3 linked regions of the Canis lupus familiaris genome follow. The protein of the gene in region 1 interacts with the protein of each later gene in a pairwise test. Links are inferred from orthologs where the notes say so. Each region holds a gene or a part of one and is shown in the gene's direction. Other genes may lie near its edges. The genes, in order: NUPR1, MPHOSPH6 and RAN.

Region 1 (5,664 bases):
AATAAATCAATAAAACTTTTAAAAAAGAGCAAAGTTTTATTATGTGCGCATGGAGGCCTAGTCATGAAATCGGAAATGTCCGAGGCAGGTGGTATTTATCCTTTTAGACAAAGGGACGATGAAACTGTGAAGAATTGAAGGAGAAAGAAAACTTTATAAATTAGTAAAAAAAAAAAAAAAAAAAAGAGTAACGAAAATCTCAGCTCTAAATGTTTTACTTCTGGGGGCAGATGGGTGGCTCAGTTTGTTAAGCATTTGCCTTTGGCTTGGGTCATGGTTTGGGGGTCCTGGGATCGAGCCCCGGTGTTGGGCTCTCTGTTCAGTGGGGAGTCGGCTTCTCCCTCTTGCTCTGTGCTCTCTCTTGTTCTCTCTCTGTCAAGTAAATAAAATCTTTAAAAAAAAAATGTCCTATCTCTGATGATAAGGGTGTCTTTTTACCTCCCTGTACAGGGAGGGGAATTTTACCTGGGAGATTTATTTCCTGCTTTCAGGGGTACAAAGGAGGGCTGAAAGTCAGTCTCACCAGGCTGTCTCTTATTTTATTTAAAATAACCAATATGTTAAAGTGACTCATTGTTGGGAGACCTGCCTTTGGCCCCTACGTGATTATCCCAAACTCAGTTTTATTCAATGACCTCACTTTCATTTCCTGGAGGTTCAAGAATTCACACATCAACCAAACCTGAAAAACAAAAACTAAATTTTATTCTGGCTCCAGCCAGGGAGAAACACAAGCAGAAGTACCTCTTCTTGTTCAGCAAAGGACGAACTTGGGTTATCCCAGGGTTTGGGGGAAGGTGAAATTAGGCAGCATGGAAATGAGACAGTGTTTGAACGAGTTCACAGCAAAGGGGGAATGTTAGCAGAGAATGAACACCTGGTCTGACCCCAGCCTGTCTTATTTTTTATTTTATTTTATTTATTTATTCATGATTGACACAGAGAAAGAGAGAGAGAGAGGCAGAGACACAGGCAGAGGGAGAAGCAGGCTCCATCCAGGGAGCCCGACACAGGACTTGACACAGGATGCAATCCTGGGGCTCCAGGATCACGCCCTGGGCCAAAGGCAGGTGTTAAACCACTGAGCCACCCAGGGATACCCCCCACCCCACCCCCCAGCCTGTCCTATTGTGCGAGACTACTAAGGTTAAAATAGAAAAAAAAGAAAGAAGAAAGAAAGAAAGAAAGAAAGAAAGAAAGAGAAAGAAAGAAGAAAGAAAGAAAGAAAGAAAGAAAGAAAGAAAGAAAGAAAGAAAGAAAGGAAGGAAGGAAGGAAGGAAGGAAGGAAGGAAGGAAGGAAGGAAGAAAGGAAGAAAGGAAGAAAGGAAGAAAGGAAGAAAGAAAAGAAAAGAAAGGTGGAAAGTTGCATCTGCCTCCTTCCCTGCCCGGTACTGTGGGAGCTGGCACATAAACTTCAGCAAAAACATCAGTGGGCAGGGTGTGGCCTCTCTGGGTCAACCTGACCCACAAAGGGCAGATCCCTTGAGGCAAGAGTGGAAATTTCCACTTTCATGCGTTTCTTTTCTTTTTTGAAAGATTTTATTTATTTATCCATAAGAGACACTAAGAGAGGCAGAGACACAGGCAGAGGGAGAAGCAGGCTCCCTAGGGGGAGCCTGATGCGGGACTCGACCCCAGGATCCTGGGATCACACCCTGAGCCAAAGGCAGATGCTCTACTACTGAGCCACCCAGGCGCCCCTTGCATGCGTTTCTTGTCTGAATCCCTTCCCTTAATTCATATTAGGTACAAACACCTGTTTACTTCGTAATATCTTCTACCTCTGGATACTCATGCCTTGAAAGACATTATTTCATTATAAATCACTTTTCTTTTACATCATAGGGACGACATTATTGAGTTGTTTGGGAATTAGGTGAATGACTCCTGTAGCACAGCTTACAAGGTACCAGGCACTGTTGCAAGTGTCCCCTACACACATGTGGGGGGTGTCTCATTCAATTCTCTCACGAAGTCTGTGAGGTTGATGCGATTCTTATCATCCTCATTTTTTTACAGAAGAGAAAACTGAGGCGCAGAGAAGTATGGTGACCTGTCTGGGGTCACCCAGGAAGGAGAGGTCAGAGGTCTGAACCCAGGGCAGCTGGCTCCAGAATCTGCACCACACTGTTAACCTCCCTCTCCAGTGAGGGAAACTACCTAGGGACCCACTCCCCCTCACAGCTCAGGATATAAAGGGGGCTTTCCAGATGTTTCTTATCGAAAAGGGGTGTTGGGCGTGTTAGGGGCGAAAACCACTGACCTAGCTTGTGGTGTGTTGTTCATTCCACAATCTGCCACCAGGGTCCTGAGTCTGAGCCAGAATTGGGGTGGGGGTCAGGTGTGAGGCAGGGGGCAGGGGACAGATAGGGAGGAGTTGGCCAGGTGAGGCCCTCAGTTCCCCACTGGCCATTATCCCAAGGACTGTTTATGCTCAGACTCTGCCTCTTTCCTCCTCCTCCCTGAGGGGCGGGGATCTCCTCTGTGGAAAAATACCCAGCTGGGCGAGCCCCAGTGAGAGGGCGGAGGCGAGGGGAAGGGGCTGGGACTCACAGGACTGACTCTTTCCCCCTCTCGTGATTGCTGTTTACTGGGTCGGGTTCTGGGAAAGGGCCAGATTGCATCAGACAGGGCCTGAGGAGGACACGTGGCCTTTATAAGTTGGGGCCAGTGAAGAGGGAGGTGTCGGGAAACCGGACACAAACAAAGCTTTTGAAGACGACAGAGAGACAGACGGCAAGGGAGAGTCAGATATAATGTCCACCTTCCCGGGAGCAGCCAGCCGGGCTCAGCAGCCCCCAGGCCCAGAGGACGAAGACCCCAGCCTGGATGAGTATGACCTCTATAGCCTGGCTCATTCCTGCCTGGGTAAGGTCTGGCCCTGTCACCTTCCTGATCCCTCCACATCTACCCCCATGTCCCAACTAGGATTCTTCCTTAGATTTGTCCTCATCCCCAAGTCCTTCTTAACCCCTCTTACCCTGAGTGCTGTCCTGCTCAGCCCTGGGACCCCACACACCCCTAGGATATTGGAGCAACCATCAGGGGTCCCTCATTCCACAGATAGGGAAACAGGGATTATGACTGCCCCAAAGCCATGTGGTGACCAGTCCCCAGTCTGCCTCCCCCAAACCATGCTCTGTCCACCCTGCGCTCCCGACCCCCTGCTTCTCCTTGGATGTCTCATGCCTCCGCCAACCTCACCTCAGCCTCTTGCCTGGTTCCCAGGAGTGGGAGGCCGGAAAGGTCGCACCAAGAGAGAAGCTGCTGCCAACACCAACCGCCCCAGCCCTGGTGGCCATGAGAGGAAGCTGGTGACTAAGCTCCAGAACACGGAGCGGAAAAAGCGGGGGGCACGGTCCTGAGACGGAGCTGGAAGTAAGGAGTCAGGGGACCCAGAGGTCCCTCTGTCTCAAAAGGACATGCCTCAAAGTATGGTTGGGTGAGAAGAAGGGATCCAAGTACCATTGTCTCAAAGTACAATGAAATGAGACACACATTCGACTCTGAGTTTCCTAGTGACCAGAGCAAAGGGGGAAATATGGAACCTTTCCAACTGGAGGGCAATTTGGTTTACAGGGAGGGAAATGGAGCCCCAGGGGGAGGTAGGGTCCTTCTCTGGAGACACAGAGCAAGTGACCAGGAGAGGCAGAGTCAGAACCCAAGATTAGAACTGTCCCGCTCAGGGATGCCTGGGTGGCTCAGCGGTTGAGCTTGAGGATCTGCCTTCAGCTCAGGGCATGATCCTGGAGTCCCAGGATCCAGTTCCGCATCAGGCTCCCTGTATGGAGCCTGCTTCTGTCTCTGCCTCTCTTTGTGTCTCCCATAAATAAATAAATAAAATCTTAAAAAAAAAAAAAAGAACTGTCCCTTTCTTCCCTTGCCCCAGATGAGGCCAGAGCACGGACACCACACAGCGACGAAGACAGGACCACGGATCGGCACCTGGAGGCAGGATCCAGACCTGCTTGCCCCCCACCCCACCCCCAGGACTTACCCTACCTGACCGAGGCTCCGAGGGGCCACCAAGGAAGTGACTCCAGCCCCAGAAAAAGGACAAGATAGGAAGCAAGAGGCAGGGAATGAATGGAGAGGCAGAGTCGCAAAAGGTACCCCCTAAAAAGAAAGACACTGAAGAAATTGGCTCTCCTGGAGTGTGGGAAGGAAGGACAATAAACAAAGTACATCTGCAGGTTGTGTGTGGGATTTTGTCTCTTTGCGCGGTTTTGATCATCTGTGTTTCTGCCTGTGTGTGGCTGCGTTTGCATGAGCCAGTGAGAGCCCGTCTTGTTAGCGTGTGTCCTTGGTTATGCACCTGGGAGAGGGTGAGCCTGATTTTGTGAGGATGGGTAGGGGCTAGCATGTTTTCTTGTGTTTTCTTTTGGTATGCATATGTTTTGGCAAACATGTCTCCATGGTTTCTCACGAAATGCAAGGGGATTTCCTATTTCTTTGTCATGCTGCCTGGGAAACAAGCCCCCTCCTCAGCTCTTGTCCATTTTCAGAATGAACAATCTTATTGATTGTGTCATTTTCATATAAAACCACCTTTGGGGGCACCTGGGTGGCTCAGTCGGTTGAGCTTTCGACTCTTGATTTTGGCTCACATCTCCAGTGTCAGAGTGGTAAGTTTTCAAGCCCTGCATTGGGGCCATGCCTAATGTGGAGCCTGCTTAAAAAGAAATTAAAATTTAAAAGAGGGAATCCCTGGGTGGCTCAGTGGTTTAGCGCCTGCCTTTGGCCCAGGGCGTGATCCTGGAGTCCCGGGATTGAGTCCCACATCAAGCTCTTTGCATGGAGCCTGCTTCTCCCTCTGCCTGTGTCTCTGCCTCTCTTTCTATGCCTCTCATGAATAAATAAATAAAATCTTAAAAAAAATTAAAAGATATAAAGCCACTTTTTGAAGTGAATGCTATTTATTGGTGCCACCTGCAAAATAGAGAAAACTGAGATTTATTTATTAAAGATTTTTATTTATTTATTCATGAGAGGCAGAGACACAGGCAGAGGGAGAAGCAGGCTCCATGCAGGGAGCCCGATGTGAGACCCAATCCCAGGTCTCCAGGATCACGCCCTGGGCCGAAGGCGGCGCTAAACCGCTGGGCCACCCGGGCATCCCGAGAAAACTGAGATTTAGAACTTAAGAGACTTGCCCCAGATACTCAGGGCTCAAACTCAAGGATTCTCACTGTCCCTCTGCCAAGAGGGCTGCCAGTACAGGGTTCTGGGAGGTCACCTGCAGGGGAGGAAGATTCTTACCTTGTATATATATATAATCAGTCTCAGGACCAGAGTTTGAGAAGACTGTAGGGCAAATAAGAAGACCTATTGATTGAGATAGGTTTTGGGCGGCTGTAATGAAGACTCAAATTGGGAGAGAAAGTTCTCTGTCATATAACCGCTCCAAGAGTCAGTACTCTTGAGCTAAAATGACAACTTCACTGTGTCAGGGATTCCAGCGACTTTTAGCTCATTATTCTGACACCCATAAAACATGGCTTCCGGGATGCTTGGGTGGCTGAGTCGGTTGAGCATCTAACTCTTGGTTTTGGCTCAGGTTCTGATCTCAGGGTCATGAGATCAAGCCCCAATTTCCAAGTTGGGCTCTTTGTTCAGCACGGAGTCCACTTGAGATTCTCTCCCCCTTTGTCTCTCCTCCTCTTC
Region 2 (5,877 bases), on another chromosome or scaffold:
TTCTTCCCCAAAATGACAATTCCCTGGCTCTGTAACTAAAACAGGTCAACACATTACTGTGAGACTTACCCTCTGTATTCTATAATTTAGTAGCATAGAGCAATCAAGGAGTTATCTTTCCAATCAGGTGGTTTAACTCAGTTAAAATTATGTTATTATTCTTAAATCACTTCTCATGTATTATATTTTGATGAGTAGGAAGAGACTTTGGTGACTAGTTTTAATTATAAGTATTTTCGTTGTCAAATAAAAATGTAGAAATTTGAGTGTCAGGTTGAAGAATTTGACCTTTATCCCTCAGACAATAAGTTATTATAAATTTTGGAGTTGGAGAGTAACATGATGAAGCCAATGTTTCATGAAAATGAATCAGAATCCAGTGGGCAAGTAGACTGGGAACAACAGAGGTGCATAGTGAAGATGAGGAGCTCTTAGCATCCTTAGCTGATGTACATAATGCTCTTATTTCCGGCAGGAATTGTTTTCCTCTTAAGCTGTCAAGACACGTGCTCATTCTTCAAGATCTAGTTCATGGTCAGCACTGTTTCATGGATGTAGATAGCAGACTCGGTTACTTCTTCAACTCTGGTCCCACTGAACTTCTTTGAAAATTCTAAACAGAAGTCAAATTTAAAGATAAAAAAAATAGAACGGTAGTTACACAAGAGGAGGGAACAGGGAGTTATTATTTAATGGGTACAGAATTTCAGTTTTGCAAGATGAAATGTTGCTAGGAGATGGAGAAACAGTGAAGTATCCCCCAAACTAAGACACTTTGAGACTGGAAAACAAAACAGGCCACTCCATACAGTTTACACAGAGTTTTATTCAGGGTAACTTACTGACAAGAGGGATTGGGCAGAGGACAATCGAGGCAGCTGCAAAGTTATTCTCTGCAAAATCCAGACGTCTACAGATTTTATAAAGGGGATAGACAGGCAGAAGGGCATTGTACTCAGATCAAAGGGTTCAAATGCACCTCAAAGAGCTTGCACACACCTGACAGCTAACCTTTAATTGGATCTTAGGGTACCGCCTCAAGAAGGGGAGAAATTGCGTTATCGCTAACAGATTCATGGGAGGCCAAAACAAGCCTCTCTTCATCCCTGCATGGAGCCTGCTTCTCCCTCTGCCTGTGTCTCTGCCTCTCTCTCTTTCATGAATAAATAAAATCTAAAAAAAAAGAAAAAGAAAAAGAAGGGAAAGGGAAAGAGAAAGGAAAAGGGAAAGGAAAGAAAGCTGTGTGGGACAGGCAAGCCGCTGGCACCGCCCGCCGGCCGGGTGCTTTCCGGGGAACGGTGTGGACCTCACCGTCCGGGGGGGCCGTGCGGCCCTGAAGCAAGAGCTGGGTTCTTGTCTCCCGGAGCAGAAGAATGAGTCTCACGGACAAGAGAGAGTAAAAGCAGTGGAAGTTTATTAAGCAAGGATGCAGAGAAACTCTCAGGAGAGGGGTCCTCATGGGGTTGCCAACTGGGCCTCCACTGACAAGTCTTTTATTGAGAACTGACCAGGGAGATTGTGGCCTTATCCTCCCTGAGACGTCCTGGTTTAAGTCTGCTGATAACATCTTTAATGACTTCCTTTTGGGTCTGGTTATTCTTTACCGGTCACAGGTGTGTGTGTGTGTGTGTGTGTGTTTTCCACCCATATCCGGGGGCAGGGTGGTCTGGTCTGTGCCCGTAGGTCTGGTTTCCTTACATCTCAGCATTCTGGGGACTTTGTGAGCCTGCCTCCGCGGCCCCCTCTCCATCTCTCCCTACCTAGCCCCGCCAGTCCCTCCCTCACTCATCCCCAGCCCTTGGCACAGGTGGCTGCCGGGCCTCGCACCTGCGAGTTGGGTTTGGGCTGTCTCACGGGACGCTCATCCAGGCTCAGGGACCTACCTGCACAGCTGCAAACGGTGCACAGTTTCCCAGACTGCCTGGGTCAGCACCCGCCCGCCTCCCCTCCCCCCACCGCTCCCGGGCCAGCCCGGCAGCCTCCCCACGCCTCAGTGACCTCAACGCAGGAGGGGCTGTGGCGCTGACCGTGGTGCGCGGCCCGGGAAGCCCGCCGTCCGCGACGCAGACGCGCCACAGCCGCGGCGTGGCCAGGACGGGCGGCGAGCGTCTCACCAGCTCCCACCGCCTCGGTGACGCGCGGCGACACTCACCACGGCGCTCTCGGGGCGCAAAATTCGGGCCTCCTCCGACTGAGGCCTCTGTAGACGTTTGCCTCCTGCGTCCAGTCGCCCTCGCCCCTGGCGGACAGCCGCGTCCTCACCCGCAGCTCCTCGAGGAGGACAGCGCCTCCCGGGACGCGCCCAGGCGAGGGCGAAGCCACGCGGTGCGACGACGCCAGCTGCGGGAGACGCCGCCGCCGGGACGCACGCGGCAGTGCGCGTGCGCGGGCGTGCGTGTGCGTGTGCGCGTGCGCGTGCGCGGCGGGGGCTGGGGGTGGAGCGCGGCCCCGAGCAGGCGCCAACATGGCGGCCGAGCGCAAGACGAAACTGTCCAAGAACCTGCTGCGCATGAAGGTGCGGGGACGGCGGGGAGGCGCGCTGGGCGACGGGGGTACCTGAGCTTCCACACCTGGCCGGGGCCGGGGCTGCAGACGCGCGGGGGCACCGGGGCGGCCGCGGAGGGCCTCCAGCTCGGACATTCATTCATTCACTTAGCGCTTGGTCTGGTTCGGGCCCTGGGAACGGGATTCTGAGTCCGGCGGGTTCGCTCTTAAAGCCCGCGGCGGGATAGGAGAGCGGCGGCAGCGGGTAGGATGCCGCGGCGCTGAGCGGTGCCCGGAGCGCCGGGAGCTTACTTGGCTTCCGCGGGAGAGGCCCTTGGGTGGGGGGTGGGGGGTGGGGGGGGGAGGGGAGGAGGAGAGAGGGAGGGCAGGTGGGAGGCGGGGCGCAGGGCCGCGGAGACCCAGGGAAAACCGGGTGCACGGCTCTGGGACGCAAACCTCGGGAAAGCCGCTGGGATTCCCAAGAACTAAAGATCAGCCGTTGTGTCTGGAAGGCAAGTAGCAAGAAGTGGGCCTGAACCAGCAGCCAGTGGCCACATAGGTGAGCAGTTTTAGGCCAGAGGAAGAATTATTATTATTATTTTTTTCTCTATGTGAACACGGAGAAGCTATTGAGCATCTTAGCTGTGCTTACTTTTCAAAGTTCCCTTAGCTGCCCTATGGAGAATGCCCTGGTGGGGGAAAAAAAACAAAAACGAGCTAGAAGTTTTGATCTGGTCGCAATGGCAATGGGAACAGAATTAGAACAGTTGAGGTGAATATCTTCGACTTTCAGCAAAATTGATTATTTAAATTCGAAATTGAATCCATTTTTTTTTTTAAGATTTTATTTATTCATGAGACACAGAGAGAGAAAGAGAAGCAGGATCCCTGCAGGGAGCCGGATGCGGGACTCGGTCCCAGGACCCCTGGAATCCTGACCTGAGCCAAAGGCAAGAAGCTCAACCGCTGAACCCCCCCCAGGCGCCCCAAAATTGAACTCATTTAACAAATAATTTCAAAGTGGAAAAACAAAAAGGCAAGGGCACGTAAAAGGAATATAGGATTAAAACAGGGGAAACAACCAGGCCTTAAAAGCTTGAATAATAATAGTAAACATTTATAGTTTCTGCTATGTGCCAGACAGCTGTTCTACGTGCTTTGCCTATAGCCGCCCGTAGAATCCATGTAGTGACTCTGCGAGGTAGATGCAGTTATTACTGCTCTCCTACAGCTGAAGCCCCGAAAGAGAAGTAGCTAACTTGCCTGAAGTTACACAGCTAACAAGTTGTATAGACAGAACCAAACTCAGGCAGTCTTGCTCCAAAGCCCCTGCTCTTAACTGCTTGTCGCTGTCAGCACAGTGTAAGATGTCGTGTTTAGAGAATAATTTCCAGAAAAAAAAGGAAGCAAGGCATAAATAATGTTTTGAAAGATTGGAGAGTACATGTTGCATGTGCCAGATTTGGAGTTCAGCGAGGGTGTAACTAGGGATGAATAGGGTGAGTGAGGGTGGAGGGTAAATCATAATTTATAGTTTCTAAAGTTCTTTTTTCCTACATATTAATAGCAAAATTTGCATTTTTACCCCACAGAGGCTTCTTCTGACTCTGAGTTTGCAATCCGAGAGGTAGAGTGGATTGGCAAAGCAGGCACATCAACTGAAGATGTCCTGAGTGATTACACCTCTGACCAAAGAGCTGACTCAAGAGTTAGAAAGGAAGAAAATACCATAAAAAAAGTATCAACTCCTACCCCAGTGGTTGGAGAAGACTCAACAGGACTTGGAAGCAAAGGAGAGGGGGGGACTATGACACAGATTTTCTAGTTGGGTCAGCAGCTTCAGTTATAATAAAGAACTTATTGGTAGGATAGCAAGAGATACCATACATACAGATAGAGTGGAGTGTCCCATGAGAATGAATGGAACAGCTGCATTAGGTTGCTGTATCCAGTGTAACTGTTCAGCCAGAGTTCAGTGTAGAGCAAGAATGAAGAGAGTAGAGGATTTAATACTAATACATTTGTTTTGAAGTGTACCTGAAATCCTCCGACTTGGTCACCTGTTAGGGACTGGAAGGTGATCCTGATGGGAGTAGAAAGTGAAAGATATAGGTGGTATTCCTGTCAGCATGATGAAATGATTGTAAAGAGGGCGCTTATTTGTGATGTTAGCTCCTTTGGGCTCTTAAGATAGGAGTTGGTAAACTTTTTCTCTAAGAGGACAGATAATAAATACTTCAGGCTTGTGGGCCAGTTAGTATTGTACCTACTCACCCCTGCCATTGTAGCTCAGAACCAAATGAACAGATCTTTGTTCCAATAAAACTTTATTTACAAGAATTGTTATCTAGCCCAGAATTGTAATTTGTGATGCCTGCTGTAGGCTCTCACTTGTGAGTAAAGTCAAATCACTAAGCTTTTTTTTTTTTTTTTTTTAAGATTTTATTTATTTATTCATGAGACACACACAGAGAGGCAGAGACATAGGCAGAGGGAGAAGCAGGCTCCCTGTGGGGAGCCGGATGTGGGACTCAATCCCAGAACCCCGGGATCACAACCTCCAAAGGCAGATGCTTAACCACTGAGCCACCCAGGTGCCCCCAAAGCATCTGAGTTTAAAGAGAACCATCCAAGAAAGAGAGTCTGGGAAAATAAGTCTGGAGTTACATTCAGAGAACCTTTATTGAACTCTTCTTGTATACCAGCTACAGCCCAAGTACTAGTAATAAAAAATGAATAAGAGACATGGTCTACTATTCAGAATCTCTGTCTTTTGGGAGACACAAAAGAAGCATTAATGAACAAAAAGCCAGTGCTTATAAGGCTCTTAGATGTAGGGAAAGATATTCTTTTATGGGAAGAGATCTCTGAACAGCTTGGCCAAACACCAGTCAGGGAAGGCCGAAAGGACATGTGCTCTGGGTTTTTTCAAGTGGATATTTTGCCAGATAAGAAGATGGAAACATGATGTTGAGTAGCAGAGGAAGCAGGACTGGGAAGTACATTACTACATTCCAGAAACTGCCAGTTTTTTCCTGTGGTGAGGGCTTATGCAGACTTATGTAGCTACCACCACATTCATGATACAAAGCTGTTCCATCACCATGAGGTTCCCTCAGCCTCTCCATTTGTAGCCATACCCAGTCTTTTCTACTGTCCCCAAGCTCTGACAGATCTGTTCTCCATTCCTATAACTTCGTTATTTCAAAGATGTTCTATAAATAAAATTGTACATATGTAACCTTTTTGAGATGGCTTTTTTTTTTTCATTCAGCATAATTCATTTGAGATCCATCTAAGTTGTTGAGTATCCTTAGTTCCTTTTTTTCAATTGCTAAATAATATTCCATGCCATGGTAGTACCGTAGGACTTAACCATTCACCTTTTGAAGA
Region 3 (5,848 bases), on another chromosome or scaffold:
AACAACAGCTTCATGATTCCGTGTATATTGTTGTAATCAATTAAAAAAATTACCTACATAACATTCAAGAACTAATATGTATAAAAGTGTACATAAATGGTATTGTACCGTACAATCTCTCTATAAAACTACATATACTGTGGACTATTTAAGACCATTATCACATCTTTCTTGAACTTCCTTCTTTCTCAACATTATCCTTTGAGATCTAACCCTGTTGATACAGATGAACTTGCTTCCTTTCAGATGGCATACTGTAATAGTTAAATATTTGTAGTTTCCCTACCAATGGGTATCTCTGGAAGCTGCATTTTTTGTTGCCATAATGTTGTAGCGAACGCTTGAGATACTGTCTCCCTGTGCATATGTGTGAGTTTAACTCCAGAGAATCTCTCTAGAAGTGGAAGTTACAGGGTCGCCAGCTCTCGGCACTCATGTTTTATCAGTTCCTGCTTTCCAGAGAGGCCAAAGCAATGGTCACACCCAAGCAGCATAGAGATCTGTTTGGTGTTTTCCTGAGGGTCCTGGAGAGCAGTGGGATTGGAGTTCCCAGCAGGCAGATTCGCCCAAGTGTTGTGCCCAATTTGCATCACTTGTGTTCCCAATAGGTTTGCTTGCAAAGGGCACTGAAGACTAAGTGGCTAACTCCTCCTCCGTCATCTGGGTTCTCTGCGCTCTGGGAAGAGTCCCCACGGTGGAATCCTTCCTGAGCAACCAGACTACTCTGATGGGGCCACCAGCGGTACTACTCTTGCCGCGAGTGCGGATGTTTGCTTGCAGAGGGGGCCGAGAGGATCTGGGTTATGGAGAATCTGTGGCTGTCCACACAAATGCCAAAAACTGGCCCTAGATTTAGGGTAAGAGGTTAGAGGACTCCACTTGGCCCACTTCCTTGCTGAGAATGAATAGTAGTTAACTGTCAACACTTGCTGAGCTTGTGGCTCATCTTACTTTCTGCCTACACCGGCCCTACGAGGTGGGCATCCCCAGCAGCATGTGACTTCTGAGTGCATGGATCTCGTCTGCATTCTTGCCAGCTTTATTGTCTCCACAGTCTGGAACCTACATACTCATCGATTGCATCCAAATTTGTAACTGGGATGCGAGCCGCCAGGTTTGAAAACACGATTTCGTCATCCTGTGCGCAGGATACAGTCACAAAGGCTGCTGACCAAGGAAATGCTTTAACAAAAGGGTGGCTGCCTTTTAGGGTGAGAAAAAGCATCGATTTTGCACCCTTTACCCCCAAGTAAGGTTTTGGCTGGAGCCAGGGACACCGGGTGTGGGCGGTGGGGGGGCCTGAAACACAAGGCAGGGGCCCGCGGGGTCCAGGTGAGAGGAGGGGGTGCGGCGGGGGCCCAGGGCAGGCTCTGCGGACCGGGGTCTGGGAGGAAGGGCCGGGGCCGGGCCGGGCCGGGGGCGCAGGAAGCGGCCGAGAGGGTGATGGAGGCCCGGGGGAGGCAGGTGGCAGATGGACGGGCGGCTCCGGGAGAGGGTGCGGGTCGGAGCGCCCGGGGTGCCGCGAGAGCCCACAGGGGCAGGGCCACAGGGGCAGGGCCCAAGGCCTCCGCACGCGCCCGCTTCCCCCGCGGCGCACCGTCCCGCGCGCCCACGGCGAGGCCCCACGCCCGGAGGCCCGGGGCTTTGTGTCGGCCGCTCCCCGCGACTTTCCCGCCCAAGAGGCCTGCGCTCTCCTCCCAGTGTCGTGGCGCGGCCGCAGCTGGGCGCGCCGCGTCGGCGTCGGCGCATGCGCGCGCTGGAACCCGCCCTTGGGCCGGCGCACGTGGCCCCGCGAGCCGGCGTGCGTCCGCGCGCCCGCGCCGAGCGCGACTGCCGCCCCGCCGCGACTCTCCCCTCCGCGCCCGGCCGACGGGTGTGGCCGGCCGAGCCCGCGGCGTGCGTGCGCGCGCACGCCGGGCCACGTGGGAGCGACGCGGCGCCGTTGCCCCGCCCCCCCCGGCGCGCGCCGGCGTCGGCTGCGTCTCCGGGCATTTGAATTGCGCTTCCGCCATCTTCCAGCCCTCAGTCAGACGGGCCGGAGACGCTTCTGGAAGGTAAGGCAGCGGGGCCGGGCCGGGGGCCGCGGGGGCCGCGGGGGCCAGGGGCCGGGGGGCCGGGGGGCCGGGGGGTCGGGGGCCGGGCGGGGGCCGGGCGAGGGCCGGGCGAGGGCCGGGGCCGGGGCCGGGCGGCAGTCGTGCGGGCCGGGGCGGCGGCGGCGGCGGCGGCGGGCTCTCGCCGTCCCCTGCCGTAGAGACCGAAGACCGTGGCCGGGACGCCAGTCGCGGTGGGCCCGGGCGGGCGGCGGCCCCGGGGCGGCGCGGGCCGGGGGGCGCGCGATCGGGGCCCCGGGCGGCCCCGGCCTCCGCCCCGCGCGCCGGCCTCCGCCCCGGCCTCCCGGCCTCCCTCCCCCACGGGCGCGCCGCCAGACCCGCCGCCGGAGCAGCGCCGCTCGCCCGCCCGCCCGCCGCCGGGAGCGCGCCGCGGCCCCCGCCCCGGCCCGGGCGTGCGCGCGTGGGGCCCGGCCGCCGGAGCCCCTTTGTGGGCCCGGGCACGTGGGGCGGGCCGGCCATGTGGGCCCGGGCCCCGCCGCCAGCCGTCCCACGTCTGTCTCCCCGCAGCACCAGCGCTATGGCTGCCCAGGGAGAGCCCCAAGTCCAGTTCAAGGTGGGTGGTGCGCGGGGGCGGCCGGGGGGAGCGGGGCGGCGCGGCCCGGGGGGCGCCGGGGCCTCCCCTCCCCCCCCCCGCCCCCCGCGACCGCGTCCTGTCTCGTAGCTGGTGCTGGTTGGCGACGGCGGCACCGGCAAGACCACGTTCGTGAAGCGTCACCTGACGGGTGAATTCGAGAAGAAGTATGTAGGTACGTGGGGGGAGCCGCGGGGGCCCCCGGGAGCGGGGCGCGAGCGGACCTGACGGCCGTGCTTGTGTTGCAGCCACTCTGGGCGTGGAGGTCCACCCCCTCGTGTTCCACACCAACAGGGGCCCCATCAAGTTCAACGTGTGGGACACCGCCGGCCAGGAGAAGTTCGGCGGGCTCCGGGACGGCTACTACATCCAAGGTGGGTGAGGGCGGGCCGGCGGCTGCCGCGTGCTGTGTCATGATGGGCGCAGCGCCGAGCCTGGAGCCTGGAGCCGGGACCCGGAGCGGGCTCCTCACCTAAGACAATGAGCATCCCACGAGGTGCTGCTGTGGCTGCCGGAGTCGTTGGGGCTGGTTGGGGGTTTTTTTGCTTGTTTTTTTCCCTCAAGGGCACTGTAGAGTGGCAGATAAAGACAGGAAGAAAATGTCATCTGGGATCTCTTGTGATGAAAGATGATTGGGAGTCCTTCCATATTTTGCATCCTTTGCTATGTTACAGATACACAGCTTTTTTTTTCTCTTCTTAAAAAGTGTTTAATTAGGAAACTCCTAGACTGTACATACTTCGGTTTGTTGTCTCAATTATATTAGAATTGTGTTCCTCATAGGTCAGTATGTAGGCCTGCGTGTTTTAAGGCAGAATAACATACTCTTTTGTGTAGTTTAGGATCATTTAAAGAGCAGGTTCTGAGATCCTCAGAATAGAGGAGACCAGTTGTCTTAGGGTGCTGCTCTATCGGTAGTCTACTTGAGATTCTGGGATGGGACGGAATTAATGAAGTATTACGGGAGAGATTTGATAAGCTAGGCTGGTAGTTCACACTCACACAGAAAATGAAACTTTAAATCTTGTTACGTATTACAGTGGTTGGAGATCCTTAAACTTGGAAGAGAGAGACATTGGGGTGTAGTGAGTGCAGAAGCAGAGGTAGCCAGATTGGGCCTGTCCCCTAGCCCGTGCTCCTTAGCATTCCTCATTTGTGCAAGAAGTCATACATGTGTAACAGTTTTCCTACATCTGTTTCAGCCCAGTGTGCCATTATAATGTTTGACGTAACGTCAAGGGTTACTTACAAGAATGTGCCTAACTGGCATAGAGATCTGGTACGAGTGTGTGAGAACATCCCCATTGTGCTCTGTGGCAATAAAGTGGATATTAAGGACAGAAAAGTTAAGGCAAAATCTATCGTCTTCCACCGAAAGAAGAACCTTCAGGTATGTTTTTTAAAACTTAATTGTTTTTCTCTAAGATGAAACTACGGTAATAGATCCACTAAAGGAAATTGTGTCTGTGGTATGGATGGAAAAACTATTTTTAGTTTTAAACATTTCAATGATCCTCAAGAAGTAGATTTTTAAAAACTTATTTTATTTTATGGAACAGTACTATGACATTTCTGCCAAAAGTAACTACAATTTTGAGAAGCCGTTCCTGTGGCTTGCTAGAAAACTAATTGGAGACCCTAACCTGGAGTTTGTCGCCATGCCTGCTCTTGCCCCCCCAGAGGTGGTCATGGATCCAGCTCTGGCAGCACAGTACGAGCACGATCTAGAGGTAGGTGGCAGATGGGTCCGTCAGTGGGATCTCTTGGGTGTCCCGTGTCCTGACGGCTCTAACCCATGGTGTCCTGACGTTGTGTCTCTGTCCAGGTTGCTCAGACGACCGCGCTCCCGGATGAGGATGATGACCTGTGAGAAGTGCAGCTGGAGGCCAGCGTCAGAAGTCTAGTTTTATAGGCAACTGTCCTGTGATGTCAGTGGTGCAGCGTGTTTGCCACTTTTATTATATAGCTGAGCAGAACATGTGCTTAATCTTTGGGATGCTGAAGGAGATGAATGGGCTTCGGAGTGAATGTGGCAGTTTAAACAGTACCTTCATTTTTTTGGACCTGCATACTTAGCTGTTTTGGAACGCAGTTGTTTCCTTCCTGAGTTTCAGATAATGAGACTGCTACAGTCCCATCACAATATCCAGTGGTGAAATCTCGTTTGTCACTGTCATTCCCATTCCTTTTCGTTTAGAATCAGAATAAAGTTGTATTTCAAATATCTAAGCCAATGAACTCCTCCCTTGTTTGGTAAGCATCTTAAAACCACTAACAGGAAAAGTTGTGCCACGTTACTGTTGAACTGGCCTTTGCTATTCTCCCTTAATTTGAATCTTTGCAGGTTAAGTTCTTGTCTATTTGTACATTTGGATCCTCTCACACAGGTGACAGGGCAGACATCCGCAGTATTCCGTTTGGTAGATTGTTAGAGGGGTGAGCATCCGTGGTGAAGCTAAAACGATGCCCGTCGCATCTGCCTTCAGACTGGGTGGTGTCACCTGGGGAAGAGCTTTGGACTTCTGTGACCTGTTGGAACAAAACTACTAGACGTTTCGGATAGGCATTTTAAGAATTACAGTTAACATTATTTTGTGACCAGTAACCGTGCTCTCATGTAGGGATGTTCAGAATCTGGTAGAACGATAACAGATGACGGTGGGGACTTGACAGGAGTCTCATTTGTTAAAAATGAGTGTAAGTTATGCATTGATTTGATTTTGTTTTAATGTTAACGTCTAATGTGAAGCTGGTACTCTAGAAAGATGTTCCACGATTACCCGCTGCTTTCAAGTATTTCTGAGTGTTAAAGATGCTGAAGAGTAAGGATTTAAGTTGGGCATCTCACAGCTTTGATGCTTTTTTTTTTTTCTGAAGGATTTTTGTGGCCAATTCAAAGGCACGAACACTAAATAGAAAAGTAGATCTTAGAATGGCTTCTTGAAACGTGAAACATTGCAAAGGTTTCGTTGGATCAAACCATTTATCTTTGTATGATTTACACATTTAAGAACGAGTGGAGTCTGTCTTCAGTTTTGACCCCATGGATGCTATACTGTAGCAGTTAGGAGTCTTAAACTATTATGCTCACTTGAGCACTGCTATGGTTGTTTACCAAAGTTCCTTAGATGTCCATTTCTCCTTAAATGGTTACTTTCTTACCTAA

What was found.
Region 2: the proteins of NUPR1 (region 1) and MPHOSPH6 interact in a two-hybrid assay, tested with the Homo sapiens proteins (2 studies listed by BioGRID and IntAct). The link is inferred for Canis lupus familiaris from reciprocal best matches to the Homo sapiens genes NUPR1 and MPHOSPH6.
Region 3: the proteins of NUPR1 (region 1) and RAN interact in a two-hybrid assay, tested with the Homo sapiens proteins (2 studies listed by BioGRID and IntAct). The link is inferred for Canis lupus familiaris from reciprocal best matches to the Homo sapiens genes NUPR1 and RAN.

Annotation. Positions count from the first base shown.
Region 1 is NC_049227.1:18,386,145-18,391,808, forward strand, and holds NUPR1 (nuclear protein 1), read left to right. Parts: upstream 1-2,597; 5' UTR 2,598-2,756; coding exon 2,757-2,868; intron 2,869-3,228; coding exon 3,229-3,365; 3' UTR 3,366-3,378; intron 3,379-3,862; 3' UTR 3,863-4,192; downstream 4,193-5,664. UniProt on the Homo sapiens protein: Transcription regulator that converts stress signals into a program of gene expression that empowers cells with resistance to the stress induced by a change in their microenvironment.
Region 2 is NC_049226.1:70,385,753-70,391,629, forward strand, and holds the start of MPHOSPH6 (M-phase phosphoprotein 6), read left to right. Parts: upstream 1-2,383; 5' UTR 2,384-2,464; coding exon 2,465-2,515; intron 2,516-2,895; exon of another isoform or gene 2,896-3,043; intron 3,044-5,877. UniProt on the Homo sapiens protein: RNA-binding protein that associates with the RNA exosome complex. Involved in the 3'-processing of the 7S pre-RNA to the mature 5.8S rRNA and play a role in recruiting the RNA exosome complex to pre-rRNA; this function may include C1D.
Region 3 is NC_049247.1:1,620,200-1,626,047, reverse strand, and holds RAN (GTP-binding nuclear protein Ran), read left to right. Parts: upstream 1-2,616; 5' UTR 2,617-2,628; coding exon 2,629-2,664; intron 2,665-2,772; coding exon 2,773-2,857; intron 2,858-2,930; coding exon 2,931-3,056; intron 3,057-3,884; coding exon 3,885-4,072; intron 4,073-4,241; coding exon 4,242-4,412; intron 4,413-4,507; coding exon 4,508-4,552; 3' UTR 4,553-4,566; downstream 4,567-5,848. UniProt on the Homo sapiens protein: GTPase involved in nucleocytoplasmic transport, participating both to the import and the export from the nucleus of proteins and RNAs. Switches between a cytoplasmic GDP- and a nuclear GTP-bound state by nucleotide exchange and GTP hydrolysis.